Oreochromis niloticus: one gene and its partners. The protein of the gene in region 2 purifies or fractionates together with the protein of the main gene of each other region. This does not show direct contact. Links are inferred from orthologs where the notes say so. Each region holds a gene or a part of one and is shown on either strand. Other genes may lie near its edges. The genes, in order: erlin1, tmub1 and rnf170.

Region 1 (10,723 bases), on a different chromosome or scaffold from region 2:
TAGGTTACATCATGGGCTCTACAAAGAAGTCTAAATCAGGCCTTATCCTCTTTTACATTGGGGATTTTTTTTTATTGTTATGGCCACTGCAAAAACACCTCTCAGCAGAGTGTTACTGTTTTAAAACTGTACGATCTGTGATGACTGCATTTGATGTTAACAACAAAGTGTTTAAACTGTTTGGTTTTTTTTACCCTGTTTGCTTCAGCAAACTTGGCAGCAGTGTAAAATTCAGCATCAGCCTTAGCTTTCTCTCTGGCCAGGAAGGCAGCATCTGAAACAAAGAAACACTGTTGAACGAGACAAATAAACCAGCACACCACAACTCAGGAACACACAGATTCATGTCACAGAAAGGAACCAAAGGATTTTAGGCCCACCCTCTATTTCAGAGATCTTCTTCTCTGTCTCCTTCTCCATCACCTTTTGCTGGAACTGGATCTCTGCTACCTGAGCCACTTTCTGAGCCTCTGTGTGACAGAAAAGGGAAGGCTGAGGTTGGCAGTGTGGTTACGCATGAATAACTTTGAGAGGCAAACTGCTAAAATTGTACTGATGGTCATGCAAATAAAAAGGTAACTGCCTGCTTTACAGTAAAACAGCACATTTACCAATAATGGCTTTCTTCCTTTCAGTCTCAGCTTCCTTTTCCACCACCTTCTGAGTCTGAGCTGTTATTAGCAAGCGAGTCTTTTCTGCTTCCCTGCACATACACAAACACACAGACACACACAGATAGACACAAATGAGGTTCTTGCAAATATTTTGCTTTCCATGTGGTCTTGCATGAATCAAGTGAGGAAATCACAGAAACTAAACCACATACAAAGTCTATGCTGGTAACGTCAATTGTACAAACTCACATAAGTTCAAAGTTCCTCCTGATAGACTCAGGGATCTTTGGTTTGGTAACACGAACTGCCTTTATTGGAAACAGTAAAAAAGAGGGAAACAGTGAGAGAAAATTGCTCACAACAATAAGAAGACACAGAAAACAGATAGATTGGTCTACTAGTATCTATTCAGACTTTGATTCCTCACCTCAAACTGGTGAGCAAATGTCATTTATTTTTTTTATATTTTCATTTTTATTTTTTTATTTATTGTGTGTGTGGGTTTGGGGGGAGGGGGTTGTTTGTTTGGGTGACACACTAACATCTGTTTCTTCCTAGCTGTGCACTAATGGTCCTGGCCCATGAGCAGGGGTCATTAAACAAACACTAACAGACAGTAACCTGGTTTACCCCGCGGCTTAAAATGAATTTATAGTTCCTGCAAGAAGCTAATAGGTAATGCAGTAAACAACAGTTTAATCTGACTTCTGTTTTACCTCACCTCAGTGGGAGCATTTTTAACTGTATTAACACAGGTTAGTGCGGAAGAAAACGTGCAATAAGTTTGGGCTATTTGGTGATCAACTGCCAACGAGGAAGAGGAAAAAAACAAACAAAAACAACACTATTAGTGTACTAGTAGGCAGTACAAATGACTGATTGTTAATCTCTACTCTCTGTACATTTGCTGCAAGTGCCTAAATCTAGCTGGTATGAAACTGTGTGTTATTTACCACCTCCATGATCCATGTGCGATCTCGCCTTTTTCCACTAAACATTCTCCATTTCAGCTGGAAAAGTTAAACTATGTACAATATACACTTCTAAGTACTGAGTGCTACCTTAAAGTCTTTGTAAAAGGGACAGAGCGAGGGAATGAGGGAGGGTGGAATCTCAGTTCTGGATGTGTCACAGCACAAAACCAACTAGCTGATTTTATCATCCCTAAAATGTCACTGAAAACATGCAGGTTATGTGTGTGTTTAGGTACCTGTATTGTAAGTCCAGGTGCCATAACATTCAGATCTTTCTGTAATGCAGTCTTCAGATTCTCATCTATGATGTCTGCAAACAAAAAAAAGAAAAAGTTCTAATGTATGATCTAATTTCAGGAATTTCAGCATTGTAGTAAAATGCAACCAAAATGTACTAACCAAACAACTCAATGTAAACCTCCTGTAGCGTGTGCACGCTGCAGAACTGGTTGAGTTCATGGTGAATTTTGTTGAATATTAGAGTTTTGTCGTAATCAGCGGTGTAGTTCCTCACAATGTCCACCACTGAATATAGCAGAACAAAAGCAACAATTACTTGGATGCCAATAGGGTTAATAAGTCAACAAAATAAGGAAGTTTTGCAGTGAAAGAAATTCACAAAAACAAGCTGCACCTGCTGAGGGGACGAGCATGTTCACAACTTCTATCCTGTCAAAATAGATCATCACACCTCCACTGTGAAGAAAAAAAATTCTGGTAAATATATATTCATTTTAACGTGGGAATGAATTTTTTAACAGCTAAATAAGGAAGTTCAGTCACACCTTGTTCCACAAGGCACATTCTTGATCTCATCTGTTTGGAGTGTAGTCTGAAACAAAAATTGAAAACATATTGTGACATAGTTATCAGTAAAAGTGATCTGTGTGTTTTCCTATTTGTTAAAACTAAGCATCTAAAATCCAGGGTACAACAGGTTCAACTGCTATTAAACATAGCTGAAGTTCAAACTTAGCATCAGAACTGGGAATAAAAGTGATTTAAGTGACTCTAAGACTACAATTTGCACAGGATCACAAAAATTGAAATCATGGATCCATCCTGCCTATTTCATACTTATGGCCATACGACTCCAAGCACGCCCTATCTTTTCTGATTTGCAGGAGTTCTTCATCATTCAAATGCCACAGCCTTAAATGTCATCTCTGTATGATCGCAGTGTACCCATCTTTTGATGGCTGCTTAGAGCAGGATAACACAACATGTCATAAAGGTCAAATTAGGGCAGTGAGATATGACCAAAATCTCATATCCCGATATTAAGACATCTATCGTCCGATATAAATCACAAAAATGTAACATTTTCTGTAAATTCTGTGAATCTCGGGCAGCTCGACTTGCGTGAAGTGTTTCCAGCTGGGCGTCGCGTACCTGGAGTCGAGTGTTTTAACTGATGCATGAAACTATATATTTTTAGACATAAGTTGTAACGGCCGCCGTTTTCTTTGTTAGTATTTATTACACGGCGTGCTGCGGGGAAAAGCCTGTTCTAACGTTTGAGTTTAAGGTTTATTTTTAGCACCTGACGGCTCTTTTTTGCTTCTCGTCCATAAATACTCTGCATCTTTCACGTGATTCAGTTTATTTTGAAAAGTCTCAACAGGATCTTGAGCTTTATTGTGAAAGGTTTATGTGGAAAATAAACAAGCAATAAACAAACTTTAGGAAATTAATATAGCCACTACAGTGACCATCAAAATAATGAAAAAAATATTGCCGTAAACAGTTTATTTTGCGACACCACGAAACAAACGATAGCGTAAAATGAAACGATAGACGTTTTTATATCGTCATCCGATATATATCGTTATATTGAACAGCCCTAGGTCAAATCATCTCAAACTGGTTTCTTAAACATAACAATCAGTTCACTGTACTCAAGTCGCCTTCACAGACACCAGATATCAGTCCAAAGGAGCACCTTTGGAATGTGGTTGAGTGAGAGATTTATATAATGGATGTGTAGCCAACAAATGTGCAGCAAATGTCTAATGCCATAATGAACCAAAATCTCTGAGGAATGTTTCCAGCACTTGCTTCAGAGAAGCAGATCTGAAGGCAAAATTGGGTCCAATCTGGTACTAGCAAGGTACCTATTAAAGTGGCCTGTGAGTGCATTATTAAGATTTGAAATTGAGTGCAATGCTACTTTGTACTACATTATATAATTTAGGAGCTATACAAGATTACATAAAGAAGTGCATGGTTGTTTCAAGTTAATACAAGCTGAATGCATACAATGTGTAAAGCATATTCTACTATATTACTCTGATACTCTTTTACGATTCTGATTGTAAACGTTCATAAAATGTAACAGTAGTTTTCCAAAACAACCGTAAATCTTCAAGTTACTTGGATATGCTACCAAGTCCAGACCTTTGCCAAGGTCTGGAACAAGACCCAAACTATCACCCTAAAATGAGAGGATATTTGTTAGGATGTTCAGGAACAAGCCAGGAACCACTAAAGCTCAAGCCTGCCATGAGCTATTGGAACATCAACATCTCTGTTCACAGTAAAGGGAGTTTTATATCACCCTAGACTAAGAACATGCAACTAAGAAAGAAACCTGTGTTTCAAAACCAACCAACCAGCTCAACTTTGCAGCTGCCAACAATGACGAGCCAAATGCCTTCTGGAGAAAAGTTTTATGTCAGGTGACAGAAAGATTGAGCTATTTTTCCACAATGACAAGACTTATGCTTGGAGGAGTAAACATAAGGCTTTCAAACCTAAGAACACTATAACAGCTGTTAAGCATGGTGTTGGCTGTAGCATGGTCTGAGGCTGTTTTGCTGCCAGAGGTACTGGTACATTGCACAAAGTGGACGAAATAACAGCGCATGAGGACCATTTCCAAAATCTTCAACTTCACTTAAAATTGACAGCTAGACGGTTAAAACTTGGACACAGTTGGGTGTTCCAGCAGGACAATAATCCCAAAAATATCTCAAAACTGATTTTGGATTGGATAAACCAGACTAACGTCAAGTTTCTGGAAGTGCCCTCCCAAAGCACAAATGAAAATTTATGAACTATGATGCTTAAAACCCTGGTCTGTGCCAAGAAAACAACCAATTTAAATGAACTCTACCAATTCTGCCAATAACAGTGGCCAAATACCCAGACAGAATTATGCCAGAAGCTTACTGATGACTATCTAAAGCCGCTGATTGAAGTGCAACTTGTAAAAAGACATTTAAACAAATATTAGAGGGGTTTTGTATGTATATATTTGCACCTCTATGTTTACTTTTGACAGAGTGTGGATTGGAGAAAATCCTAAATAAATTCAAACCTGTGCACCCAATTCTTGTTTCTTAAAGGCATTAAAGATGTAGGGTGCACAATCATTCTACCCCGGAAAAATAACACCTCAAAGAAATCAGTGAAAAAAACTAAAATTGTCATGAGTTTCATACCCATCACAAGTGCATGCAAACTTCTGCCCACAACTGTATATGTATTGGCATGTAAATGCTACATTTACTTGGTGTAAAACAGAGCCCCTGCAGCCATGGTTGAATAACAACTGTTTGCATGCTGTAGCTGACTTATTTATAGAAGATCCCACTCTAGTTTTAAAGCGCAGGCACCTCCTGTTTGAATCTTACATTACAAATGCCTTTGCTCAAAGGCCATGTTTCAGGCCTGGAAAGAGAGGCTTACCTGCACTGCTCTGTAGGTGGTAATGAAAGGCAGCATAATGTGATATCCAGGACCATTGGGAGTAGTCAGCAATGCCCCACCTCTGAAACAAATACAAATTATTTCACCAGAGTTCCCAATATCTGATTTTCTTTTGATTATATTTAATGAGGGTGGAAAAAAGAAGAAGACATATAACTTTATAACCATTATTAGAAACAGGTCGCTTACAAATAGCACTCCCACATTCTTAGTACAGTTGTCATTTTCATCAGAAACAGGTGTGATGAATCAGGCCTGACATACCTGTAGTACACAGCGAGGTGTCCTTCTTCTATCTTGTGAATAGAGGAGTGCAACATGATGGCCATCACTCCTGCTATTGCTGCAAATACTGCCCCTACATGCGGCATCGTCATCCTTACTAGCACTCACCTGCAGAGAGAAAAGGAAAATGCTGAAATATTTATACAACACTAAGCCCTCAGGGCACCGTCACGTCTGTGATCAGATGGAAACTGTAACTATAAACAGCAATACATGCAGTCAAGACTGTTAGGGTAAACCAACAGTAACGCATGAGCTGTGCCATAAAACTTGCCTCTTTACATCCAGTAATTTTATGGTCAACACACCATATGGCTTAGCTTTTCTGCTCCGTGCACCCTGTTTTTCACCCCATTGCAATGAAAGTAAGAGTTTAAGTAAATCATTACACATTGGTTACACACACTCTCATATATACGCCTTTTATATTCACCAGTGAGACGGTCAGCTATTAACACAGGTGCACCAGGGTCAAACATGGAAACCTTTATACCTATGATAGTTGCCTTAACAGCAATCAATGGATACCATATAGCAACACTATTAGTAACAATTAACGACTTCGCTTAGTTAAAGTACACTTCACGTGTATTTAGTTTAAACATCTAACGGTGACAGGCACAATTAGCTGATAGAAAGACTTGAGAAGGGTAACAAGCAAGTAACTCCTCAGTCAACTTATGAAGCAACATATGTGCTTCAAAGCTACAGGTCCTTTGATTTAGCTATAACATTAACACAAATAAGTTCTGAAAAAGAAAACAAAGGCTTACCCACCACTCGGTTGGTAACGTTTACCCTAGCTGGCTGGGTTGGGTTAGCTAGCTAGCTAGCTGGCTGGCTGGCTAGCTCTCACTGGGTGGGATCGGAAGTGAAGCACTGTTTCAGTGTAGCTTAATGCTAACGCAAGCTTGCTAGGCTACTAGCGTGAAGCAAAGCTTTTAAATCGTCTTGCACTACGACCAAATAATGTTTCAGTAGGTACTGTAAACCACAGGATTATAATATGTAAAATTACCGCTGTAGCAAACCGTCTCCCCTTCTGGTCTTAGCATTCAACGTCCCACCCCCCTTTCCCCGCCTCCCACAGGTTTCAATCTTGCTTTGACTCGCTGCATTATGCTGCCTTCAGGACAGTTGGAAATAAAAGAAGTGACATTGTAAATGGGTGGAATTTGTCAAACGATTTATTTTATTTAAAATCTTGATAAAACCTTTATATTTATACAGATATATAAGACCCAAATGGCTTCGGAAGAATATCAATGTTTTACAAAACCAATATTATAAAACAATGGCCAGTCTTTGACAGATGTCCAGAAAAACCAGTGGACCAAGGAAGTTCTTTTCACTTCATTTATTTTGTATGAATACTATAAAAACATATTCAAATATCTTCTTTGGATATTGGCTGGCTTTTGTTCTGCATTTGCTCTCTGTCAAGATAATCCCACACTGCTTCCATAATGTTAACGTTGTGCTTTGTGCTTAGACAGCGGGCTTGCTTGTGGTTACCAGAGTCTTTAAAAGTAGAATTGGTAACAGAGTCTTCAGCTGTCAGGCCCTTCTTCTGTGGAACCAGCACCAAGTTTAGATTTAGGAGACAAATACCCTGACTACTTTTACAATTAGGCTTAAAACTTTCCTTTTTGATAAAGCATATAGTTTGGTCTGGATCAGGTGGCCCTGAATCCTCCCTTAATTACACTGCAACAGACCTAGGCTGCTGGGGGCTCTCATGATGCACAGAGTGTTTCTTCTGTCCCCTCACCCTAAACCGGTTGCAACACACAGCCAAGCTTTTTCATGTTAAAAGGGAGTTTTTCCTTGTTTTTTTTTTTTTTGCCTGTCCCATTTGGTTCTTTTGCCATCAGAATTATTGTCTAAAGGTGAAGAAAGATGCCCAACGGATTTACTTTACCAAATGGACCATCCCAGCCTTGCTATAATGGTCTATTTGATTCACCTTTTATTGTTTATTTTATTTTATTTTCACTTGTTAAATATGGGACAGACTTGACTGGGGAAAAGAAAGGGGAGAAAGAAAGGGAAAGAAAAACAGCGGGGAAAAGGGATGGGGATAAAGGGCAAAAAACAAAAAACAACAAAATAAGCAGACAAAAAATACATATATCAATCACCTGGATCACCTGTTGAGAAAGAAAAAAGAGAAAACAAGCAGAAAAAAAGAGCAACATAATAAACAACATCACGATGATCTATGGGAATGTAACAGTAAAAACTAAATATTAAACATTATTGTGCAGCACGTAAGATCGACAGCACACAGTGTGCTTTGAGGTAGGAGCCAAAAAGGGTGTAGTTAGTGTGTGTGAGTACCCGTGTGTACACCTGTGAGCATGAGCGCGCTTGTATTTAAAAGGTTCCTTCATGTGATGATCTGCTAGAGGGTGTGGGGGGCCACAGCCCCATCCACAAGGGCATGAAGCAGGTATGGAGGAGATCAAGACTCCAGACATCCAGAGGCCCTCAAAACACAAGAGACCAAGGAAGACCAACAGAGGGGCAGCCGCGCCACCATCCCAGAAAGAGCTGAGGAGAGTCCCAGATGAGGGGTCACTCAGTAGCCGCGGAGCAGAAGCCAGGGGGGGTTGCAGTGACGTGCCCGTGAGCTCCGCCGGCAGCCAGCTGTGTCAGAGTGACCGAGCCCCAGGCCGAGAGGCCGAGGGCACCCCACCCCCGAAGTGGCCCGAGCGAGCCCCAGGCTCCAGGCCCCGACAAGCAGCCACCAAGAAGTGAGCCGGTGGGTACCTGGACGCCCATCCCAGACACAAAGAACCACCAACGCACCGATGTCTGAGGGCGTCTGCCACTGGCAGGAGAAGTGGTGGGGGGAGATAGGCCTCCATACCTTGGAGGGCCTGAGATGTCCCCAGAGAGGTGCATTATTTTTTTATCAATTATCTCATTTAATTCTAGTTTTGTTTTGCGTATTTTGTTCAATGTTTCCTGATCTTGGTGGGACACGTAGGCTTCTTCTAGGGATTTGATGGTTTTTTCTAATTCCTGAATATTTTTGTTTTCTTCTTTCTTTTTATGTGATGAGAAATAAATTATTTTACCTCTCATCACAGCTTTCCCTGCTTCCCATAGAACAGAAGCTAATGAGGGAGTAAAAGGGAGTTTTTCCTTCCCACTATTGCCAAAGCGCTAACTCACGGGCGATCATCTGATATTTACTGTTTTTTCCAAATTATTGGAAGGTCCAATTATTGTGCAATTTGGCATATCTCAGGCCTTGTTCCTGTTTCCCTTTACTGTCAGTACAAATAAAGTATAGTAGACTATTGTCTGGTCTTGCATTATATATTACATTAGTCTTTTCTGCATTCTTGCAGTTTGGATTTCAGCAAATCCCAGGAGAATTTTAAACCTGCATTTCGTGTGCTCCACTGCGTGAATGTAAAAAAGTTTCACCCGTGCAGATAGAAACTAAACATACTGTAAGAAAGAAACTGTTTGAACAAATTCAAAACCTTGTACACGTACTATACGTTTCTAGAAATTTATTCACATTCAATCATGCACAGCAGCAGTTTTTACCTTTAGTCAGTATTGCCAGTAAAATAAATATCTTGTATCTACAGCTGGAAATCTTTTTTAACATTCAAAAATATACTTCAAATTAAAATGTCTGTAGCTTACCACATCATGCTGTTTCATACATTCTAGTCAACAGCACTACATAAATGTAAAGGACAGTGTGCGGAATAAGAAAACTTTCACAGGGTGTGACTCTGATAGAGCACTTTTTAAAGTGTGTGATATCTGGCGAGTTTCTAGAGCTTCTGAGGCTTCACTTTCATTGCTCCATACTGAGTCCAGCTCCAATCCTGATCCTGCAGAGAGAAGCAACATATTCACTCAGTACTTTTATGCCAATCTCCAATATTTAGCTGTTAATTGGTGCTCTAATAAAAAACAACTTGGTAATCTGCTGATATACATGAGCTGAACATAAAAACACATCTTTGCCATACCATAATACTGTGCTCCATCTCTTGGGTGGCGTCTTGCAGCAAAGACGTTAGCTGACTCAGATAACGTTGATTTTCATCAAGTAACTGATGAACTGTTTCACTGAAAGAAAAAACAGACTATAAGGAGGGTTGGGAGTCTGGTTTTTTTCCTACAAACTGAGATTTTTAAAGACCAGAGAGTGACCTCTAGTGGCAGTTTTGTGCAAAAATTCAACTTCTAAACTACAGATAAAATCCTTACATTTGGGAGATAAGCTCAAAACAGTGTGACAGATTATTGTAGCTGTTAACTTGAGTAGTATTTTTCAGATATTAAACTGATCTTACCTGTCAGTGGAAGGCTGTGTAAGTGACGGAGATGGAGAACTGCTCTGGGCCTGAAAACACAATCACACTCTGTATTAGCTACAGTCTCATTTGACTATATTTAAACCTTTATGTTCCCTAAACACTGCTCATCCCCAAGAATATTTTCTGCTGTGCCAACTATTAAATGCTTACACAGGCAATCTTGAGAAGGTACCAGAACTCTCTCTGTCTCGACACTTGCATCTGCATCACTACTGTTTCTGCAGTTGTTATGTTTTTTAACGCCTTCTCCAGTTTAGGGAACAAATCCATGATGCGCTGCTTACACACCAGAATTGTGCTACAGAGAAAGAGAAAGATGGAAAAAAATCACACGTGGCTCACGGGGAACTGTAAAATTGTGCTTCAGGTGGGCTGAACTTGACATGTTTGTGTGTGTTTGTTAAAATTAAACTTGCCTCAGGTGGGTGTACATGTCTTTCAGCACTCTGTCCTGGTTCTGAACTGTCTGAAGGATGGTCTTTACCATGTCTGAGCTGTCACTGTAGCCATGTGGAGGGTCAGAGCCTGCAGAAGACACACTTACACAATCATGTACGTAAAATATTCTGATATACTGCACAACTACCATACCTTCTGTTTTTTTAATCTAAAAAAATTTGAGACCAAAATGATACAATTGATCAACAAGACCTTTTGCACAATTTGTAACTTGTTTATTAGAAGCTTTATCAGAATTACCTGCACTCTAATTGGCAAAAAGCATGTGCCTATTTCTGCTATTTTATTTTTGTAATGACTTGTACTTACTTTTGCATTTAGCCTTAAG
Region 2 (10,723 bases):
CACTGAGCTCGAGCTCAGCTGCAGCCTCAAGGTGAGTCAGACCCAGACCGTGCACACCTGTCTGCTGGCCTCTGACTGGCTGGTACTGAAGCTGGGGTCTGAAGTCAGGTGCACCAGGGGGACCTCTCACCTCACCTGTGTGTATAGATGCACACAGAAGCTCCAAAACTCTGAAGCTGCAGGTGTAGGGGGGGGAGTTGAAGTGACATGTGACTTGGTCCTGTTTCAGGTGGTGCGTGGCATCCTGCAGGCGGAGCTTCCTCTGATGCAGGACCAGCTGCACCGCCTGAACCTGACCCTGTTAGAGCTGCAGAGGAACACCTGGAGCGTCACAGGTGACATATCATATCACATGATATCATAGCCACAAAAACATGGTGGAGCGGGTGCATTATTACACCTGTGTGTGTGTGTCCAGGTGTGCAGCTGCAGGTAGAGCTGCTGTTGGACATCCACTCTAGTGTGATGGAGGCCAGAGACAACATGGAAGCCATCGCACACCTCACACAGGTAAGTTTCAACCCTCGGCCTGGACTCTGCCATCATTTCACCTGTCGTCAGGTGTGTGTGTCTTTACAGGGGTGGGTGACAAGAGCTCCTCAGGTTAACTCAGGTGACACAGCACCTGTAGGAGGGGCTTTAGGGCCAGCTTCTGAAGCGCCTTTGTTACCTGTCCCCAGGTGAACAGCAGTCTGTACAGAGCAGACGCCTCCTCCCAGTCCTGGATCAGGTACTTGGACTATGTCGACCGCTGCAGGACGGGTTATTCCAGCTGCTGCGCTGAGCGCTGGGCTTCCTGTCTGATGGCACAAACCCACAGGTAGACTCACCTGGCGGCACTGGGGCTACATTGTTTGCAGTCAGTTCAGTCTGCAGCTTCAGGAAACAGGAAGTGTATTTGAAGGAAGGGTCAGGGGGCCGTCACACCTCATGAGCGCCATCATCAGCGATGGTTACACCGCAGCAAGTCCGCCGCTCAGGATCTCTGTGAGTCACCATGGCAACTTCCAGGTGACCTGATATCACTCTCGCATGCACACCTGTTCTCTCACTTGTCTCTCCCTTTCTGCGCGGCTCACCTGTACTTGCCTCTGCAGGTGTCTCTGCAGCAGAATCCAGAGCTCTCTGTGCTGGAACAGGAGGTGATCACATGACACAGGTGAAAGAAGAGGCGGAGCTTCTGAAGGCGGGGCTCGACACATATTCTCAGCTATGGTGGAGCAACAGAAGGTTGGTGTTTCAGGAGTTCTTTACATACGGCCGACAGCTGGGACCCAAGGAGCCGAAGCCCACTGTGACTCCACCCACCCTGAAGGCCTTCCGGAGACAGGCAAAGGCTCACCTGTCCAGACCTGTTCATTGGCCAGGTGTACAGCCGTGCGTGTCTGTTTCAAATCAAGGCACTGGACAGACTCAGCACACAGGTGAGTCACCTGGAGACTCTCTGCTGTCCATCATCTGCTCACAGGAAGTGAACCCGATTCATTCTGAAGCGCCACATCACACGAATGTAAACGTCTTCTCAGCGTCCAATGATGTCACTAACAGACACGCGCGTCTGAGCCTGCGGCAGGTGTGACTGAAGCAGAACACGCCCCCTAACAGACGAGTCAGTCCGCCAAACCTTTCAAAGTAAAAGCCTGGTCTGTGTGTTTGGTGGCAGTCTGCAGCAGGCAGCTGAGCGAAGGTTCCTCGTCTTCCTCACCCCTCCCCCTCACAGAGACCGTCCTGCTGCTGGAAGCTGCAGACGTGCAGCTGCAGCCCAACATCTGGCTGCACAGCTGAAGGTGAGCTTGTTTGTGTCCATCAGGTAAACAATCTACAGAAAGTCATTCAGGAGAGGAAGAAAGAGCCTCCATCAGCTCATATTGATGGGGTGACATCACTGTTATTGATATCTGATCAGTTACCCTGTAAACTGTAGAGGTCATGTGATCAGCTGTATCCATGGTGTGTCCGTGTGTTTCAGTGTTGATGCGCACACTTGGCCTTCCAGAACTCCACCTGCAGACCTGCTGCTTACCTGTGCAGGTGTTTGATGTTATTGTTGCTGTCTCAGGTGAAAGTGACCCGAGGTCGAGCCAATCAAAGTAAAAGGCCCGTGTTCATCTGTGTGTGCGGCTCTGTGACGAAGGTGAACGTTGAAGCTCGGGCACACCAGGCGCTGGTCAGGTACGATCTCACCTGTGTGCGGTGCTCAGATGAGCGAGCTCCAGCGTATATTTGAACTCTGACCTATGAAGCTGTGGCGTCAGCGTCAAGTGTCACAGCTGCAGCTGTTTCACGGAGGTTTTCACAGATAGGAGTGTGTGATAAGGAGAAAGTTCAGTCCACTGAATAAATCGTTTGGTCCAGAGTACCAGGATCATCATCTTTGATGTTAGTTTATTTTTAAGTCCTTTTCAGGCCGTGGACGTCTGCGGCTTTCAAACCTTCATTTTTACCATCTTTGATCAAACAGGCGTTTTTCATGCAATGAGGCTGATGCGTTTGTTCATTTGTCTGGAATGGCAGCATGTCAGGAAGATACATCTGGATAAACTTTCCATATTTGTTGGATAAATTCTGCCCACGATGGATCGATCTCTTTGAAGCCACGAGCTCAGTTTGGCCTCGTTTCCTTCAGTTTGTTCTCCACATTCAACCACTGATTTAGTTTTTGTTCCTTTGTGAGATTCCCAAATATCTCATTTTGGAGTTAACAGGAATGTTACAAACATCTTTTTCTGGTGCATCAGGTACAGCAAGGACTTCACATATTCTAACATTTAATGTTAAACCAGATGATGATAATAATAATGATAATAGTAGTAGTGCAGATGCCTGGACAGCAATTTTTCAATAGTTAGTGGATCTTGGAGTTTATCTTTTAAATGTTGCTGTGTCATCTGCTGACTTGTGATAATATCTGTGGCTAAAACATTTAATTTCTTTATGTTATTGAACTTTTGAAGATGAATCGCCAACATCTTGGTGACCAATATGAAGCCATATGGAGAAAGAGGAATTCCAGCATTAGCTTTAAAGCTAGGGCTGGGACCATCGGGTACAATGACACAACTGCTAATAATGTGGTACAAACACAAATCACGTTTCTGAATTTAACTCCAAAAGCAAAGTGTTCAAGGACTTTATCAAGGCTGAGTCGAAGGCTTTGTAACAATCCATCGTCTTTATCAGCTTTCTGTATCCAGCACCGCTCTTCTGTCACTGTGAACCGATCCTCCTGTGAAGAAACCTGTGTTTCTGAAATGAGACATGACAGAACTATCTAAAGACGAGCAGTGAAGACATTTGGAGTTTCTTAGGGTCCTCGTTGGGCTTTGGAATTGAGGCGATAAGTCTGGGTCTCATTGTGGGCGGCAGAGTGGAAGTCTGAAACATTCCTGCCAATACTCGATGTAAAAGGCCATTGACATGTTCCCAGAAACGTTTGTAGAAATCTCGTGCCCGGCCTCTGTTAGAAGGACGTCCGATCACTGCATCAGCTTCTGTGGTTGTTATTTGATCTTCACACGTGTCTCTGAAGTCTACTGTAGGAACACGATCGGCCACATGCTTGAAGAAGAAATCAGTCAAGAATCTCGAGCTGTGCAGGTGGCGTTCCTACACCACCAACCATCAGCTGTTTGGACCGGTGCACAGGAACACGTTGTTCTCCTCCTCCTCCTAACTCCAGACCTGATGAGCTCTGTAACTCATCAAGTTTCATACTTTGTGTCTGTCATTGTGAGTGGGCTCAGGTTTATTACAACAATTGGTGTATTTTATATTTTAGAAACGCGCATCTTCACTGCTGTTATTTCTTCACTTATTGATCTCTGGCTGACGTTTTTGACAGTAAATTCAAGTTGGAGCTGAATTTCTAATATTTGCTTGTAGGTTTGATAATGACCTGATAACCTGATGGTCAGTCAGAGTTGGTCTTCCTGCTCCTTACTTTGGGCCACACTGCGCACCTCTCCGTCTTCTTCGACATGTTGTATTTGAGAAGTTCGTGCCGCTTACGTGATCTCGACAACTTTGACAGTTTGGAGGTTCTTTCGTAGTCGTCTCCTCGCGACTTTGGTTCAAGTCGTCAGGATCTTGATTTACGGAGCCGTGACCTGTGAACATGTCAAAGCAGCAGCTCTGACCAATCACATTACAGAAACAGTCTGAGGTCGTCACATGACTTCTTTCATTCTGAGCTTTTTGTATCCAACTTTATTTTGTAACATTACACACTTCCTGCTACACAGAGGGTCAAAGGTCAAACATAAGAGCCCATAAAATCTTCACCCTGGAAATGGACTCCATTATCAGCTGATCCTGGATGGTTAGAGAGTGCTTAGCAACAACCTGTCGCTAGGGAAAAATCTGTACTCCCCAACGCTGACCGCCCAGCCAATCAGGTGATGCCAACCAGCCATGTGACTGCAGCAGCTCCACCCTCAGAATCACCTGTACAGGTGTGACACACACACTCAGACACCACGGGATAAATTAAAGGTTTAATAGATTTTCTCCAAAAGCTGAAACTCTCTCTCTCTCTCTCTCACACACACACACACACACACACACACACACACACACACAGACAGGTGAGGCAGACAGGTGTGTCTGTGCCTCCCACAGAAATCAAAGAGGCACGCTGATGATGAAGATAAACGTGTGATCTAATGATAAGAGTCTCTGTCCTCACTGCGTCTCCATGGCAACAGAAACAAACAATAACTGCAGGTAGCGTCTCTTCCCGCTGCCGGCCCATGGGAGGCTAGCGGCGGTAGACGCCAAAGGCCACCAGGCTGAGGAGGATGGTGACCCCGACCAGCGAGGCGGTGGCGGGGGCGGTGAAGAACTGGCGATACTGGATCTGACAGTACCACAGCACGGAGAGCATGAGCACGAGCAGCGGGACCATCAGGCTGCCCACGTTCAGCGCCACGCGCACCTGGTCTCCCGCCCGCTGGCCCCCTGCCGCCCCCCGCGCCGCGTGCTGCGAGATGTGGCAGTGCAGCACGCAGTTATGGGCGAGGTTCAGCGAGGCGAGCGTCCGCGCGTCGTCCTGCAGCAGCTGGCCCTGATAGATGAGACGCACCTGATGCTCCTGCCCCGCAAAGTAGGTCCTGCAGGGTCAGAGGTCAGAGGTCAGCAAACGGGTCCGGGGGCACAGCCGGGAGGAGGAGCTTCAGGTTTGCCGAAACTCCTCCTCTACTATGCAGTAGTGTAGTGTATGGAGTATTACATGCAGCACTCGTACCTCTTAATGTACCCGACGGTGTCCTGTGGTTGGACCTGCGCCGTCCTCTCTGTGTCGTTGAGGAACTTGAGTCTGACCACCATGTTCCGCTGAGACACCGCGGCCTCTCCGTCTCCTCCTCTGCGCCTCACCCCGTCTCCTCCCACCTGTCCATCCTCCAGTGTGGTGGGAGCCTCTGTCAGGAAGCTGTCGTTCACAGAGGAGGAAGGTGAGGACGAGGACATGGAGAAGGTGGAGGGTGAGGATGGTGGGTAGGGGGACGAGGAGGTGGCGGTGGATGAAAAGGGCGTGTCCTGCTGGGTTTGCCCGGGCCTCTGTAAAGGGGAGGAGCCTGTGAACAGGTGTTCAGGGGGCTCGGATGTGCGGGTGGAGATCCAGGCGAGCAGCAGAACTGTCAGCAGCAGCAGAGTGGCGAACAGCAACGTCACCTCATCGCCGACACCTTCGATCAGCGCCATCGCCGCCAAGGTCAGCACAGCTCACACACCTGTAGGGAGAGGGCAGAGCTTAGCTTCAGGTATATACACACACTTCTTGTTTACCTGAGAACCCCTCACCTGTCCTTTCACTCCAGCATGACTGAAGCTTTTTATGAAATAGGGAAAGAAAGAAAACGCCCCTTTAGGGGCAGGTGTCCCACAGACGGAGCTCCAACGTCACACGACAGTATCGCAGTACTGTGTGGTGATAAATACAATACTGTGAGAGTACTACGAGCAGGTGAGCTCCTCTCTCAGGTCGATAGAGTTACTTCCTAACTCATAGCGAGCTGACGGCTCAGACACACGAGGGAAACCAACGTCCGAACATCTGCAGGACACCTGTAGCTGCCGGAAGCTGAACCTCACAGTGTCGCCTGATGGGAGGTTATCGACGGCTCCCAAACTGGATCCATGTAATCGCCATCAGACGACATCGGACAGGTACGGCGGGTTTTAGTAAAATCACCTTATCTCATTTGATAAAACACAAACTGATCAGCTGTGAGGTCGTGACCTGCAGATGCAGATCATCTGTACGTTTGTCAGAATATGGTAACGATAAAATCCCAGTAAACCTCAAAGTTCCGCCTCTACGTTACACCTGGGCCCAGTAAAGTCCAATCAGAGCAAGCGTCCTGTCCCCGCTCTACACACACACGCACACACACACACACACACGCACACACACACACACACACACACACACACACGCACACGCACACGCACACGCACGCGCACACACACACACACACACACACACCACAGGGTGACCTCTGGGACTCTATCTTGGGGAAACACACTCAGAGGTAAAAGCTCCCCTGGCGGATCGCACGTCACTTCCTGCGTGGCTGTCCAACCAGCGGGATGAAAAGCCCTTACACTTGTCCCCATACAACGCTAACTTCCGGTTTCCTGTGTGCCGTCAGCAGGTATCGATCCATGATTGATCCGGTTGTTAATCAAGTGTATTTTTGACGCCCTCTGCTCAGGTATTTGCTCACCTCTTTCCGCGGCCTCGTCACGTCACCAGTTGTTGGTCGCGTTTCACCGGAAGATCCGGGCATTTGAGCCACCCGGGCTCACCTGGATCAGCTCCGCCAGTCCCGCTAAAGTCCGCGCTAACAGCTACCCGCTGCGCTAAGATACGCGCTAACAGCTCCCGCTCCCAGGGAGCCTCTGACCCACAGTCTGAGTCTGCGCAGAGGCGCGAGGAGAGAGGAGACGACGGTCACTCACGTTCAGTCCAGGAGCTTCATGTCCTCCGCGTTAGCCTGCAGGCTAACAGCTGCATCACTTCCTGCTGCCGCTTCTTCTACTGCTGTGCTCCGCGGCGGACCCAGCGGAGGCTTCTTCTTCTCTATATTGCTTATTGGCGGTTGGCAAACAGCAAAATGGTGCATTACCGCCACCCACTGGTGTGGAGTGTGAACTGAATGTCAAAAATGAATCAAATCCTCCCAAACAAACGAGTCTGCCTTAAAAAACAAAATATGACCTGATCACTTCTCCAGTTCTTACGAAATAAATCAGCCAAGTCCAGTTTCACTTTCATCTCACCGAGCATCATATTTCTGACAATGCACTAAAACATGTCCTATTGTTTCTTCTTCTCTGTTGCAGTCACACTCCCCTGTGCAGTGCTTTCTCATTAAAAACAATGTGCTATTCAAACCAGCATGCCCAAATCTGAGTCAGGATATAGCTGTCTCCTCTCTCCTGTTCCTGTGCTTCTCGTTTCTCCTGTTTTTTCTTTGGTTTCGTAAAACCATCGCCCCCCCAGTGGAGGTTGCGCATGCGTACACCTGCTGGTCGCGATTACCGTAGCGTCTCCTTATGACGTAACCAGACAAAAGAAACAAGCAGAGTGTAACAGTTTCAAATGGTACAGAACAAAAAGTAAAGAAGAAGAAACGTGTTCGAGATCAGATCCAAATAAAGTTTTTAATAAATGAAACAAAACGAAAAGTGACATATTAGACTAAAGCCCTCTGTAACAGCAGATCAGACAGCAGAAGAAGAAAGGGGACCATAATAAATCATTACTGCAGGTTTACAGCTTCCAACAGAGAGTGTGGATTATGTGTACTCGTGGCCAGGAACGACCAGGAACGACAGCTGACACACAGGAAGTCTGACTGGTGCTCAACCGAGCCAGATTATCCAATCAGCATCACCTGTGTGAAGCTGGTGTGTGACAGCCTGAGGTACTGAGAAGGAACCCTGACCATGACCTGCTGCGACTTTTCAAAATAAGAGCATGAAGCTGTTGGTGATTAAGCTTTAGGAGTGCCTGTGTGTGTTTGTGTGTGAGCAGACCAGCAGATTTTACAGCATGAGGTTCACTTCACCCACAGAAACATGTTCAAACACTCTAAATACAAACATATATTAAAATGCATGAATATAATGCACTCATTTTATTTACAGTCACTTTATTAGGTGCACCTGTTCAACTCAGATATCTGACCAGCCAATCACAGGGTAGCAGCAAAGTGATGAAGAGGAGCTGCTGAGGTTCAAATGAAGCGTCAGAATGATGATTTAGGAGACTGGTGTGTCCAGACCCCAGTGAGCGTTTCAGGAGGAGGTGTACCTAATAAAGTGGCTGTGAGTGTAAATTCTGCACAAAGTCCTGTGAAATATGTGAGTTTCAACTTTGTGGGTCCGCTCAATCAATCAGTTGATCGGTCAGTGAACCGATCGATCATCTGCAGTGTTTCCTCTTCAGCATGTTGGGGCTCTGACAGCTGCAGAAACCTGATCAGCTGATTGGTGGCTCATCCTGGGGTGTCCACGTGCACAGCCTGACCTTTCATTGTTAGAGAAGCTGCTGCACGCGCTGTTAGTCTGGATGATGTCATTACCCCAACACTTTCCCTTTAACGTGCTGAACATCCGGGCAGCAGGGGGCAGCAGTGGCGCTCAGGGGCCACTGGCTGTGTTTGTGAGGGCTCCGAAGTCCACCAGAACCCGGACCCCAGCTCAGACCTCTGAGGGTCCCACAGGTGAGGCCCAGTGCACCTGTCCTCACCTCAGGTGGCAGGGTCCTCCGAGTTTACTCCAGAATTAAAGTCACAAGAACTCAAAATAAAGGCTGTTTTTATTCTAAATAACAAACTTTATTAGGACAAACAGCAGAAACACCTCACCCCACCTGCGGCAGGTGCGGAGTCAGATGATGACCTCACTGATCACGGGGACTCCGCTGCTCTTAGCGGGCTCCTCTGCCGCCTCTCAGCCCCCGATCAGCATCGCGCCGGGCGGTGGAGGGAGCCCCTTCGGCTTCCTCCCAGAGCATCCGCTGTGCTCCGCGGGCCCCCGGCCGCATCTCTGCCGGCGGTCCCCGGGCCTCCCGCCTGTTCAGCATCTGGACCCAGAGAGGGCTCGGAGTACGCAGTCGCAGTTGGGTTTGAGTGAAAACGGCGTAAATGTAAAATAGCGTCCGTTAAAGAGTGCGTGTGCGGCGGCTCCAGCGGGGCTGGCTGCCGCTGTGGCCGCTGTCTCTGGTTTCATCCTCCGCCTTTGTCCTCATGTTTTCCCCCGGAGTTCCTCCCCCTGCGGCGCTGGGCGGAGTTTCATACCGGACTAGACGCTCCTTTTGTCGGATTCGTTTCGACCTGACTCCCCGGGGTTTACGGCTGAAAAAACCACACTTCCACGGTCCCGAAAGCAGCCGAACCGGCACGGTGCCGTGCAGTATCACCCCGGCTTTCTGTCCGAACCAGCAGGTAAACGCCAGGTTCCGATTTTAAACGCATTTCTGGGTTTTTCGGCTCGCTCGTCCCCGAGTCGCCACAACATTCATGGCGGCTTTGCAGCGGAGGCTTGTGGGGCAGCTGCAGCCCGTCCCGCCCGCACAAAGCTCTGGTTCTGCGGGTAAAGGGTTCGGGGGGCTCGGGGGTTCTGGTGATCCTGCACCGCGGGTAGACTCGACCTCGACCTTTTTACGTGTCATCATTTTGTCGGATTAAAGCCCTTAAACGCTCCACGTGTGCCGTCCGGAGACTTTCGCTCGGATCTTTTATCCGGTTTCATCCGGTTTGTTCCGGTTTGGTCTCCGCGTCGCTCCGACACGTTTCACCGGGAAACCTTCGCGCTCGGTTCTGCGGTTCGTGCCAGCGGAAGCTACGTGCTGACTCCTGCCGGAGGATGGACGCCATTACCGGGCAGCTGGAAGCTGGCGGCCCGGAGACCTTACCGGGCCCGAGCCCAGCTCCCCGGCCGTCCGGACCCAGAACCCGGGGACCGTCTGCAGAACGGCACCGGGACCTGTGTGTGTGAGAGATCAGCTCCTGTCTGAGAATCGATCATCAGCAATGTCACCAAACACACTGTTTCCGGTTACCTCTGTGGTTACACTGGTGTGGTGATGTCACGTGAGTTTAATGCTCAGCCAGGTGAGAACAGTTGAGGTGCACGTCAGTGTGAGGTCATTCAAACAATGGCTGTGGTGCACACAGGTGGGCACCCTCACAGTGAAGCTGCTGCAAGTGAAACATTCTGATTGGCTATTCTGTGCCCCGTAGCTGCTGCTGTGACTGTGAGTGGGTGTGCACTCTGATCACACCTGTGCAGGTAGCTACAGACCCCTCAATCATCATTTTTGTCCAGTGGCGAAGGATCAAAATTCGCCATGGTGCCACAGACACGTGAACTCCGAAGCACAGCTGCATCTTCAGATGAATCTGACTAAAGGTGAAGGTGCCCAGGTGTGGGGGCGTGGCTTTAGGAACGACCCAAAGTTCATACACAGAGCTCAGTGTGCATTGACGTTTCTATCACTGAAGGTGGCGCTCTGGAGCCTTTCTGCACGTGGAGCATCCTCACTGCGTGTGCAGAATCTCGTTTCTGAGCACGCTCAGATTGATTTCTGTAAATGAAAAGAAGCCTTCAGGAAGTTCACACACTGTTGGGCCGCCATGGTGTGAGCTGCAAGCTGATTGGGCAGTGAGAGGATGAAGGTGTTAAAGTGTGGTGATGGCCAGCTGTCATCCTCTAT
Region 3 (10,723 bases), on a different chromosome or scaffold from region 2:
TCTTACCTTCCTCTTGCTTGTTTGCAGGCTTGACATACATAGCATTAAGGGGGAAGCCAGGTTCTCCAGGAATGGGAAAGTTTGTGATGCCCAGAGTGTACATCTCCTTTTCTCCCTGGCTCCTGGAGCTGCACTGTAGAGCCACATATCCCAATGGAAAGAGTTTGATTATGTTTTCTGGTCACCTACTTGAATACATATTCAAGTAGCTCATTGCTACAAGTGATGAAACTGCATTAAGCCCTTTGTGGGGATTTCAGTTTACCTTCTGTAGCTTCTTTAGGCATTCAGAAATATAGAGTGTGACATAGATCAGTGTCCTGTCTGCCTCATTCTGAAAGAAACACATGTACACACGCATTATTGAAAGAGTTATTTATATAAAGCATTGAGGTTACTGTAATTTGTAGTAGTTAGGTCTCAGAACTGAACAGCCTAAACCATGCAAACTATGAAAAGATTGCACTGTTTGCAATCACAGGAAGAGGCAAGCCAGGGCATGTGGAAAAACCAAGTGCTCAGCTGCTCCAGAGAGAGTAAGAGAAAACATACAGAGGAAAAGGGGCACCAGTGAGGTGCATACCTGCCTCCTTATTCAAATAAAACTTATTAAGCTACTTTAAAACAAAAAATTATGTTGATACAATGGTGAGAGCACAAATACAGCAAAAACACTGCAAGGTTTATGACTATTTTGGTCTCCTTAAACATGGAACACATGCAATCAAAACAGTGCAAATATTAATGAATTGCTTACCTTGATTTCATAGTTCTTAAAGAAAACATTGGCCTTGAAGTAGTAGATAGCCTCGTCAATAATATCAGAATCTACGCCTAAAATTTTTTTTAAAAAAGCAAAGAAGAAGAAATCAACAAATGTATGGCTCTAAATTCAGTATTTGTGCATGTGTATGTGTCACTGTTAAAGTGTCATTTCCCGTTTTGGCCATGCAGGCCTTTTTTGTTACCAGCAGAGCTCCATTCTTGATTTATGAGCTGCTAACAAACAACTAGAATCACCCAATCACAAAATATAATAGCTTCATTATTCAATAGCACTGAATCTGTCAAACCCACAACACCATGGAAGAGTTAAATGAACCTTTAGGTGGATCAGACACTAGAAAATACACCGTTTTATTACAGAAGTGCTCATAGACTCTAATGAAGAAGTTAGAAGTTGAGGATGAGCTCTTTACACCATATAAGGAAGTGTATCTGATGCATGCATCAGGAAATAAAGTAGGGGTCATAACAAGATACAACCCACTGCCTAAAATGACTTGACCAAATCAAAAAACACTACTAAAGACTTCACTACAATTGATATGCGTTATTTAAAGGACATTATCGACATTTTGACACAAGTAAAAGACATCGCACAGCCTTACCGTCTCCTCTGGCTGGTCCTTTAAACTGAGTTTTGACGGGGAGCAAAGCCATGTTCCCCACCAGCCTGGTTTCGGGGGCCATCAGGTTTGAGTGATACGCCTGAAAAATATTAAAAGAAAAAGTTGCTGTCACCTGATTTCTCTGGGAACATTTCTGCCAGATAGCATCATTGCTACTATGCTAGCCTGGTTTAATGGTTATGTTATCGTAGAACCAAATAATAATAAGACGTATAGGCAACGTGCTAAAAGGCATTTGCAAAAAAGCATCGAATGCGAATTTGCGCTTTCTGACATGTCAAACATCGTTAAATTGCGACCCAAATGCTTAAGTAATTAGCGAACTATGCTAACGTTAACTCGGAGGCCTCTTTTTTCCTACTCAGTGGGATTTCAGCGCAATATTTTTGCTCTAAACCTAGCAGTAAAGTTCTCTGCTCGTCAATAATAGTGTGTTTCTTCTTATTTTTTTTACTCACCGGCATGTTGAATGATAAATATCAGTCCAACTGCTCAGCGACAGAAATATTCCAACACTTGCAAGATACTGCTTCCGTGCTGTCCCACCCTTCGGCTACAGGAAGTGGCCACGTGTCATGTGGCGTATCAACCAGCCGGGGGCGCTAAATAAACACTTCACATCACACGGGCGGCAAAACGTGTATTTTGCGTTGCATTTTATTCAAAAAAAATATAATAGCAATATTTTTAATAACTGCTAAGCATTTAAATGCATCAAACCACTGTTTTAAAATATACTTTTAAATGAATAGTTTCATTATCATCAAAACAAAACAAACAAAAAAAACACCTTTAAAATACATGAAACACTATTCATGATATCCACAATCTTCTTCACGTGTCCATTTCTCAGTATCCATGCAGCTACAACAAACAGTCCGATGGAACTCCTTTGCCAGTCTTGCTACACAAAGTCTGTATTTGCAGGACTGGCCATACTGCGCCTTAGCTGTTCACTTTGTCTTGAAAAATCTCATCATAATTTAGGTTAGCAGGCTCTTCCTCAACCTCCTGTAGGAAAAGAAGGTACAGAAAAAAAAACTGGTTGATCATGAAAAGGTATATAATGCATCATATTATATATATACATATTTTTTTAAAGTTCTGTTTAACTGGGGTTGGTGGGTTGTGCTGTTTCTTCACCTTTGGCTCCTTAAACTCCAGGTCCTCTCCATACTGTATTGAGAAGTCAATGTGTTGCAGTACTATGTTAATACCTTCTTCATCAGTGCGGTCAAAAGGGAGGAATCTTACTATACTGTAGTCATCAATCTAGATACACAAACAGATACTGTCTCATTAAAAACAGACAAATATATTAATAAAAATATCAATCTGATCATAAACGTGATGCAGTACCAAATCAAGGCCTCTACTTACAAGACCACAAATAGCTTTGGTTAGCTTCTTGAACTTTTTGCTTCTGATTGTGTTGGAGCCGTCTTCCATCATTGAGTACATGTCTGGGTCCAGGTATCTTGTGAAAAAATGCAATGCATAAAAATGTAAGTAAATTAAAACTAAGAATTGTCTCTTCAAACATGTTCAGGTTTTGAATAACACGAAAAGAAAACTTTAATCTAGTCCTAGTACAGACGACAAAGGGAATTACTGTTTTTGTGGGCACTTAACATTGTCAATTCATATGAAACTTACTTTTCAATCTCCTTCTTTGCTTTGGGGCTAAGCAGATCCATTTTTGTCATGATGTTTACCTGAGGAATCTCTAATGACACCATAGCACTGAGGGCAGCCATGACTCCAGAGATAAACTACAGTAGGAGACAAGTAAAAGGTGTGCTGTCACTATTACATTATGTGTGTGTTTGTACAGAAATGAAGTTAAAAAAGGAAAATAAAATAAATCAGAGGAAGACACTGTGAGACTGTTACCTTAAAAGACTCCACCATGAACTGTGAGTCAACAAGGAAAACTCCACAAACCCGAAACTCCCACTGCTGGAGCTGCTCCACCAGCTGCTTCATTACAGGGAGGTGTGTGTACAGCTCAATCTGCCCTGTAAAGAGAAGCCACGCTTCACACCAGTTCTATGAGGCACACACGGACAACCACTTTTCCAATGATAACATACCTTGTTCCAAGACTGGAATAATGAAATATGCACTCACCTGCCAATTCAATAGGTTTGTTACTCTCTAATGGCAGCAACTCAACTACATTTAAGCATACAGACATGGCCAATATGCTGAAGTTTAAAGCAAGCATCAGAAAAGGGGAATATGGTATGGTTATCGATGGTCTGAGCATTTCTGAAACTGATCTGCTGGGATTTTCCCCAAACAGCCATCAACAACCATCCATAGGGTTTACATACAACAGTCCAGAAAAAAAGAGCGAGAAGGAGAAAGACCAGACTGTTTAAAGCTAATATGACGGCAAGAGTAACTCAAATCCATTACAACCTAGGTTTACAGAAGAACATCTCTGAATGCGCAACATGCTGAACCTTGAATCAGATAGGCTACAGCAGCAGAACACCACGCCAGGTGCCACTACTGTCAACTATGAACAGGAAACTGAGGCTATAATTTGCAATGGTTCAAGAAAACATAATTTAAACCCCACAGCCTACCTGAGTATTGCTGCTGACTACCTTATGACCACAGTAAACCCATCTTCTGACTGTTGCTTCCAGTAGGATAATTTGTCATGCTACAAAGCTCAAATCATCTCAAACTATGTCTCGCTGCATGCTCAATCATCCAGGTAATGAAATCCCAAAACATTGATTCTGTCCATCAAAACCGTAGCACTTTCAGTGGGAGAAACATTATATCACTCATCCAAGTGCCTTCTTCAGTCTCAGATGGACAAAATCAACGTTTTGGCATTTCAAACAAACTGACAAATATGCAGCAACTGTGTGATGCTATCATGTCAGTATGGTCCAAAGTCTATAAGGAATTCACTGTGTTGAATGTATGCCATAAGGAATTAAGGTAATTTTGAGGGTAAGTGGCCATGAGTGTAAATCTATTTCGGTGATTTAAACAAAATTAACAAATAACAGTGCTCAGGATATGTTGAATCCCATCCACACCCCAGCACAAACAAGTGCACTGTGCTGAAGCCAATGGAAGACTGGCTTCAGCATACCCTCTTTGAAACATTTACCTGGGCAGTCAAACAATATGTAGTCATCTTCCACGTGACCCAGGCTTTCCTCCAGCCAATCAAAGTTGTTTGCGAAGTACTCCATGCAGAAAACCAGACCTCCGTTTGGGCCAAATCTTAAAGAATCGTCCTCCATCACGTCATCCACCTGAATAAGCTCACGGATGTCTGAGAGCACCGAAACATAATAAAGTTACCATGTGGGTCGTGTAAAATAACTCCTATATGCTAAATACTAAAGCAAAAATTAACGTTAGAGCCTAATTAAAAGCCATTTATCAGGGTTAATCGTATCCTCCTCTATTCTATGGACACTACTATGTCATATAAACTAAAACCATGCTGTATTTACCTGCCATGACAGGGTAATCAAAGTGCTCAGCTGCTGGGTCCAGATTGACCACCTGAACTGAACGGTTTAAGGTCTCTGAATGCTGGACCATGGTGGAGCAGTAGGTACTCTGAAATGAAAGTGAACTCCAGTAAACAAAAAGCAGATGCAGTCTGTGTTGAACACAAGACAACCTCATGCCTTAGCATTAGCCAAATAGCACAACAAGGTATTTCAACAAGTTTAACTGAATGGGTGATAACTTACCTTACCGCTACCCGCAGGACCCATCACTAGCTGTGCATAACGAGGCATTGTGCCTCAGTTAAAGAGAGCTGTGTAAAATTGGGTCCTTTTTGTCGCCAAAAGTAGCTTCGTAGAACTGTTAGTAATATTGATGCACTGGCGGTGGTGGCCCTTGTGCTTCTTCTTCTGCTTCTTTTTCTTCTTCGTCTTCTTGTAAGAAACATCTACATTGTATTAGCACTTCTGCCACCTATTGGTCAAAGCGTGGTTAACAATTCATCGCTTGGATCATTATTATGCCATGTACTAAGAAATCTAATAGGAAAGTTATACACTATATGAAGACGTCTTTCTATTTAAGGTAAGACATTTACGTCAGTAGAGACAGAATATAAGTCTCTCATAAATAATTAAGTTAAATAAATGTGAGACAATGCATAAATTGAAAAGCTAAAACTATTTTTCTGAGCAGTTAAACAATTTCAGAAATTACTCTCTCTGTGTATACCATGTTTAATTTATGTAAAAGAAAATAAAAAAACTGATGGGATAAGGATAAAGTACAAAAATAACGTCATTAACAAACACTAGGGGGCAGCATTCTGTAGTCGTAGCTTCTAACCTGCATACCTCTAAGAGAATAAGAAGGAAAGGAAGTAGTTGCAAACCGAAACGGTATCATCGGTATGCCAAGCAAGAGCAACAACACGCAAGCGATTGCTTCTGGTCTCCTAATTTGACTGAGCCTCTAAAATCTGTCATAACTGGGGGGAAATGTCTCGATAGAGTGGATGGAGCGGACAGGTGAAGCTTTTGGAAAGAGCTTACCGAGTGGAGGTGGACTTCTTATTATCAGGTGAGCTCTTTCATCATAGTCCGTCCTGCAAAACGTTTCAAATTACTTTGCACGTTACGTAAACAGTCTTAGCTTCATTATGCTGTGTGCCACACTCTTCAGCTAGAACTTAAGGCGGCCCTGCTAAGCCTGTCGTGAAAGGGTCGTTATGCGACTGATTTGGGGGCGATAAATGTCCCGTAAAGCTCAGACTTAAAGAGAGAAGCTGTCCTTCTTTCACTGGTATATAAATAACTACAGGGCTGTCTGTGGTGGAGGAGCTTCCAAAAGCCACACACTGTCATTACCAGCAGTAGCTGTGCTCATTAATGTGTTAAAAGCTAATCTACGCCAGCGCTAAACTTGGCAAGCGGGCGTTGCTAGCTGATAATAGCAACACAGTGAACGGAAGAATGCTACATGCAGGGACAAGTAACCAAAGTGTCGCTAACCTAGTTTTGTAACGTTTTGGTAAGAATGGACTTCTCGCTGCTATTGCTAACAGGTCACTTAAAAACAAGCCTTTAAGTTCGCAGCTTAATCCCGTAAACCCACAGATTTGTGGCATTCACAGACTTGGGAATACATTAGTGGAACCTTATAGTCCGTTAAATTATATAGCTTTTACTAACATTTAAAATTATAATTAGTGATCTCTTTTTTTCTCCCCCTCTGTTTTCCAGAGTTGTAGGCTATGAGTGTGGGTGATGGAGGACGGTCAGCATGGGGACTTGGATTACTTGATCCAAGATGAGGACACTCTCATTGAAGGTGTCAGCAACCAGGTCTTATTTGTGGTGGTGCTCAGTGTCGCCTTCCTTGCAGGCCTCCTCACTCTCCTCTGCAGGTAAGCAATTGATTGCTTAATAAAAAGAAAGTGCTGTTTTCTTTTTCTTTGGATGACAGGTGTTCAGGACTGATAATATATGCATATATCTGAGGGTTGTAATCATGTAGAATATTGCACTTTAGGGCTACTCGTATTGCATTGCATTGCATTGTCACGCTCTGTTTCATAGTTTACGCTGACAAACATCTGATTGCCAAATCATCTTTTGACATTTGCAGACAAGAGCAGCAAAATATTCATCCTGAGAATCAGGAGCACGTAAGAGCCGTCCGACAACAGCTCCAGACCGAGCAGGTAAAGATGCAAGCGCAGCTCCAGCCTTTTTAGCCCTAGGTATTACTTGGAATCCTTTGCGTGGTTTGAATTCTTGTTTGAACATTAACGACTCAAGGCTTTGCAAAAAGGCCAAACATCACCTGAACATTTCAAACTCAGAAAAGCAGAGTCTTGAGGATTATATTTTCATTTGGGGGATGTCATCCTTTACTAAAAATATTATTTTGTTGGTGTTTAATTTCTATTTTATCTTAAGAAAGCAACCTCTAAAATTTATATTTATATCTCTGAAATTTAAAAGAAGCAATTAGTTTTGGCTCTAGAACTGGCAAAAGTCCAGAAGAAGGAACTGAAAAGGTTTAAATTGTCAAGTCACAACAGGAAGTTGCAAAAGGGCTGATATAGATAAATATTCATATTCTTTTACAGCTAGTAAATGGTTTATAATGTTTATTGTTCATTTGGAGGGAATGACTCTCAAAATTGTGCGCTCTGTTATAACAAATGTGCTAAACTTTTAAATTTGTATGCTTTTGATTTCATTTTGCAGGATGAAAATCCCCAGGCTGAAGCCAGGCAGCAGTATTACACAGACATGTCATGTCCTGTATGTTTACAGCAGGCTGTTCTGCCTGTGGAAACCAATTGTGGACACCTTTTCTGCGGTGAGATTATTCTTTTAATTGCTAATTGTACTTTTTGTACTAAAAAAGTAGTACAAAAAGTACAAAATTGCTACAAATGTCGACATTATTTGAAAATATGCACGTCAAGGAAAACATAATTTGGAGTAAATATAACATTTATGTATTTATTTTTTAGCTAATAGCTATTGTTTTGTGCTTTAGTTTTACTCATGTGCCATATCCTGTGTTCTTACACAGGCTCCTGCATCATAGCCTACTGGAGGTACGGCACCTGGCTGGGAGCTATTAACTGCCCCATCTGCAGACAAATGGTGAGTCTTTCAGTACTTGTTAAAATGCACACTAGAGATATTCATAAGTTGCCAGCTGTTCTGTATTCATATCTTTGAATGCACAAAAATACCTCAATGGTTTTCTGTTAGGCATTTAGCTATTGCCACAGTTGTTGGAAATGAGTGTTAAATGGAATAAGTGATGTGTCAGTCCGTGCGGTGCTGTGTGACCTGTCATGCACTGCATATACATATACATATATATTACCACCCAGTTGATTTATAATATCAACTGGCCAATATAACTATAAATGAGTACATAAAAAACCAAACAAAAAACCCCCCAAAACTATACATAGCAAATTTGGGGGAAAACTGTTATCTATGCCTCTTAAAAAAATAAATAAATAAATAAATCGTTCTTAAAAATATCTTTATATTTTTTCTTTTCTTTTAATTCCAGGTAACGTTGCTCTTTCCACTCTTTCATGAGCACGCCAGTCCTCAGAGGGTGCAGGATGGGGAAGCTGAACCTCAACTAATATTAAGAGATATCAATGATTACAACCGCAGGTTTTCCGGACAGCCGAGATCGGTGAGTATTTCACAGTGATATTTATTTAGATTGGGGCTTTAAGTTTGAATATTCATTCTGTACAACCTAGAATATGCTTATATATTGAAAAAGAAAAAAGAAAAGAGGGTGCTCACCTGATCATGACCTGATCTGTCTCCTTTGGTCTTGGGTGCTGTGGATTTTCCACTGTATAACTCCTTCTTTGTCTCCGTGAGTCATAGTCTGAAACCCAACAACAGTTATATTCTTGATACAAAAGTTGGGAAAGTTGTCAAGAAGTGGATGTTTGCTCTCTATACAACTCTATCATGGGAGACATGCGAAAGAGAGGGATTTAAAATTAGCAGCCATCCATGTATGTGATGTGTTGGTTGTCTGTTTGTTTGTTTGTACGGACATACTGCAAATCAATTTCCCGTTAGGGACAATAAAGTTACCATTGACCATTGACCATTGAAATGGCCGATATGATACTACCGTAAATGAGATAAACGTGAGTTATTATTGACAACTTTGTTTCTGTTTCTGTGGTTTACCTCAGTTTATGGACAGGCTGCGGGATGTGCCCACTCTGCTTCGTCACGCCTTTAGAGAGATGTTTACTGTGGGTGGCCTCTTCTGGATGTTCAGGATTCGAATTCTTCTCTGCCTCATTGGGGCAATCACCTACCTGGCCTCTCCGCTCGACATCCTCCCCGAAGCGCTCTTTGGTCTTCTGGGATTCATGGACGATTTCTTTGTAATCCTACTTCTCTTTGTGTACATCTCTATCATGTACAGAGAGGTGGTCACACAGAGACTGAACGGCTAGGCCTTGGCCTGCTCATATGAGCCTCGGGAAGAGTGAAGTCAACATCTGAGGACGTGCAAAAAACGGAATAAATGTTCAGAGAGCAGTTAGTCGATAATACAGATTTTTTCTCTCTCTCTCTCTCTCTCTGAAGCCTTGGATGTTATTTTATCACAGGAGATGGGTTAGCAAAAAAAGTACTCTCAATATTGACTCTGTATATAGAATTTACCATTCAAGATTCTAAGGTCATATGAGTCAATACCAACAGAAGCAGAATATAAGGATGCGATGTAAAAATCTACTTGGAGTCAGGCACTGAGGTCAGTCAGGAAAGTCTTTCTTGCCCATCAGTTTACACCCTTAACTAAATAGTCAACAGTGCCATGAACGGGGATTTGATTAATGTGGATGTCATCATTATGGAGACAATCATGTAAAAGTGTAATGTCTTTATTAAATGGATTTAAAGTCAACAGTCTAATTTTGGATTGTCAGTTGACAAGCAAAGGTGTGTTACAAGAACCCTGTTAATGGGATTATTAGAGCCTGCTTTATTCACTTATAGTTATGCCCATATTTCAGTGATCTGTAACTATGCATAACCATGACTTGAAACCAATGTTTGTGTCAAAATCACTCAAGTGTTTTACCTGGAAACGTCTAGATTTATTCATCCATTCTAACATGCTTCGAACTTTGCTGGGCTTACCCACGTGAAAATATAGTGAACAACACCAACCAGTCTGATGATGACTTCTCAGTTAGAGATGACTTTGTTTTTCAAGAAAAGAAAGAAACATCAGCTCACTCAAGTCATCATTGTTAATGTCATCATATTTCAATGTTTAAAGATTATTTTGAGGATTCTTTTTTTCTTCACATTTCAGGATCTTAATCAGTTTGTCAGCGTCAGTTCAGCTTCATGCACTACAGAGCTTTTCAGAACGTCAGAGTCTCTCAATCTGTCAGATTTTGAAATGTATTGAAGTCTTATTTATGTTCAAATTAAATTAATGTTCTATACAAAATGTGTTTTACTGAGGATGTAAATAAATGGGGGATTACCAAACTGTTCAAGTGTAAATCTAGCTTGAAATTTTGACTGGTGCACAGTAAATATCTCCACCTCAACTTCTTTTACTTTTTTTTTTTTTTTTTTTTTTTAGTTGTGATTACTTAAATAGGTAGTGTTGTCTAGTGGAGCCAGAGATAAAGAGACTTCTTTATCTGCCTTTTCCCTCAAAGCTACTGTGCACCCATGGTTGCTTTTTGAGCAATGAATCCAGGCTATTTGGTTTCTGGGGATTAAAGCCAATGTTTGATAAGCTTGTCATGGTAGGCAAAGTAA

Evidence for each region.
Region 1: the proteins of tmub1 (region 2) and erlin1 purify together in Homo sapiens (affinity purification with mass spectrometry; 3 studies listed by BioGRID and IntAct, with this or other methods). This does not show direct contact. The link is inferred for Oreochromis niloticus from reciprocal best matches to the Homo sapiens genes TMUB1 and ERLIN1.
Region 3: the proteins of tmub1 (region 2) and rnf170 purify together in Homo sapiens (affinity purification with mass spectrometry; 3 studies listed by BioGRID and IntAct, with this or other methods). This does not show direct contact. The link is inferred for Oreochromis niloticus from reciprocal best matches to the Homo sapiens genes TMUB1 and RNF170.

The regions. Positions count from the first base shown.
Region 1 is NC_031978.2:19,357,052-19,367,774, forward strand, and holds the start of erlin1 (erlin-1), read right to left. Parts: upstream 6,718-10,723; 5' UTR 6,603-6,717; exon of another isoform or gene 6,358-6,602; intron 5,693-6,357; 5' UTR 5,677-5,692; coding exon 5,564-5,676; intron 5,361-5,563; coding exon 5,279-5,360; intron 2,421-5,278; coding exon 2,374-2,420; intron 2,285-2,373; coding exon 2,223-2,284; intron 2,114-2,222; coding exon 1,988-2,113; intron 1,899-1,987; coding exon 1,825-1,898; intron 923-1,824; coding exon 864-922; intron 704-863; coding exon 612-703; intron 471-611; coding exon 381-470; intron 275-380; coding exon 195-274; intron 1-194. Other genes in the region: inhibitor of nuclear factor kappa-B kinase subunit alpha, read right to left, coding at 9,385-9,444, 9,586-9,685, 9,913-9,962, 10,087-10,234, 10,353-10,461, 10,705-10,723. UniProt on the Homo sapiens protein: Component of the ERLIN1/ERLIN2 complex which mediates the endoplasmic reticulum-associated degradation (ERAD) of inositol 1,4,5-trisphosphate receptors (IP3Rs).
Region 2 is NC_031982.2:34,492,481-34,503,203, forward strand, and holds tmub1 (transmembrane and ubiquitin-like domain-containing protein 1), read right to left. Parts: upstream 7,112-10,723; 5' UTR 6,961-7,111; exon of another isoform or gene 6,726-6,960; intron 5,730-6,725; 5' UTR 5,701-5,729; coding exon 5,243-5,700; intron 5,109-5,242; coding exon 4,757-5,108; 3' UTR 4,176-4,756; downstream 1-4,175. UniProt on the Homo sapiens protein: Involved in sterol-regulated ubiquitination and degradation of HMG-CoA reductase HMGCR. Involved in positive regulation of AMPA-selective glutamate receptor GRIA2 recycling to the cell surface.
Region 3 is NC_031972.2:24,338,530-24,349,252, reverse strand, and holds rnf170 (E3 ubiquitin-protein ligase RNF170), read left to right. Parts: upstream 1-5,753; 5' UTR 5,754-5,981; intron 5,982-6,643; 5' UTR 6,644-6,667; coding exon 6,668-6,807; intron 6,808-7,028; coding exon 7,029-7,104; intron 7,105-7,636; coding exon 7,637-7,751; intron 7,752-7,970; coding exon 7,971-8,044; intron 8,045-8,468; coding exon 8,469-8,600; intron 8,601-9,123; coding exon 9,124-9,393; 3' UTR 9,394-10,447; downstream 10,448-10,723. Other genes in the region: arpc3 (actin-related protein 2/3 complex subunit 3), read right to left, coding at 7-133, 266-334, 758-834, 1,392-1,491, 1,871-1,876; gpn3 (GPN-loop GTPase 3), read right to left, coding at 2,358-2,423, 2,556-2,684, 2,793-2,889, 3,069-3,184, 3,306-3,430, 4,549-4,716, 4,901-5,009, 5,147-5,194. UniProt on the Homo sapiens protein: E3 ubiquitin-protein ligase that plays an essential role in stimulus-induced inositol 1,4,5-trisphosphate receptor type 1 (ITPR1) ubiquitination and degradation via the endoplasmic reticulum-associated degradation (ERAD) pathway.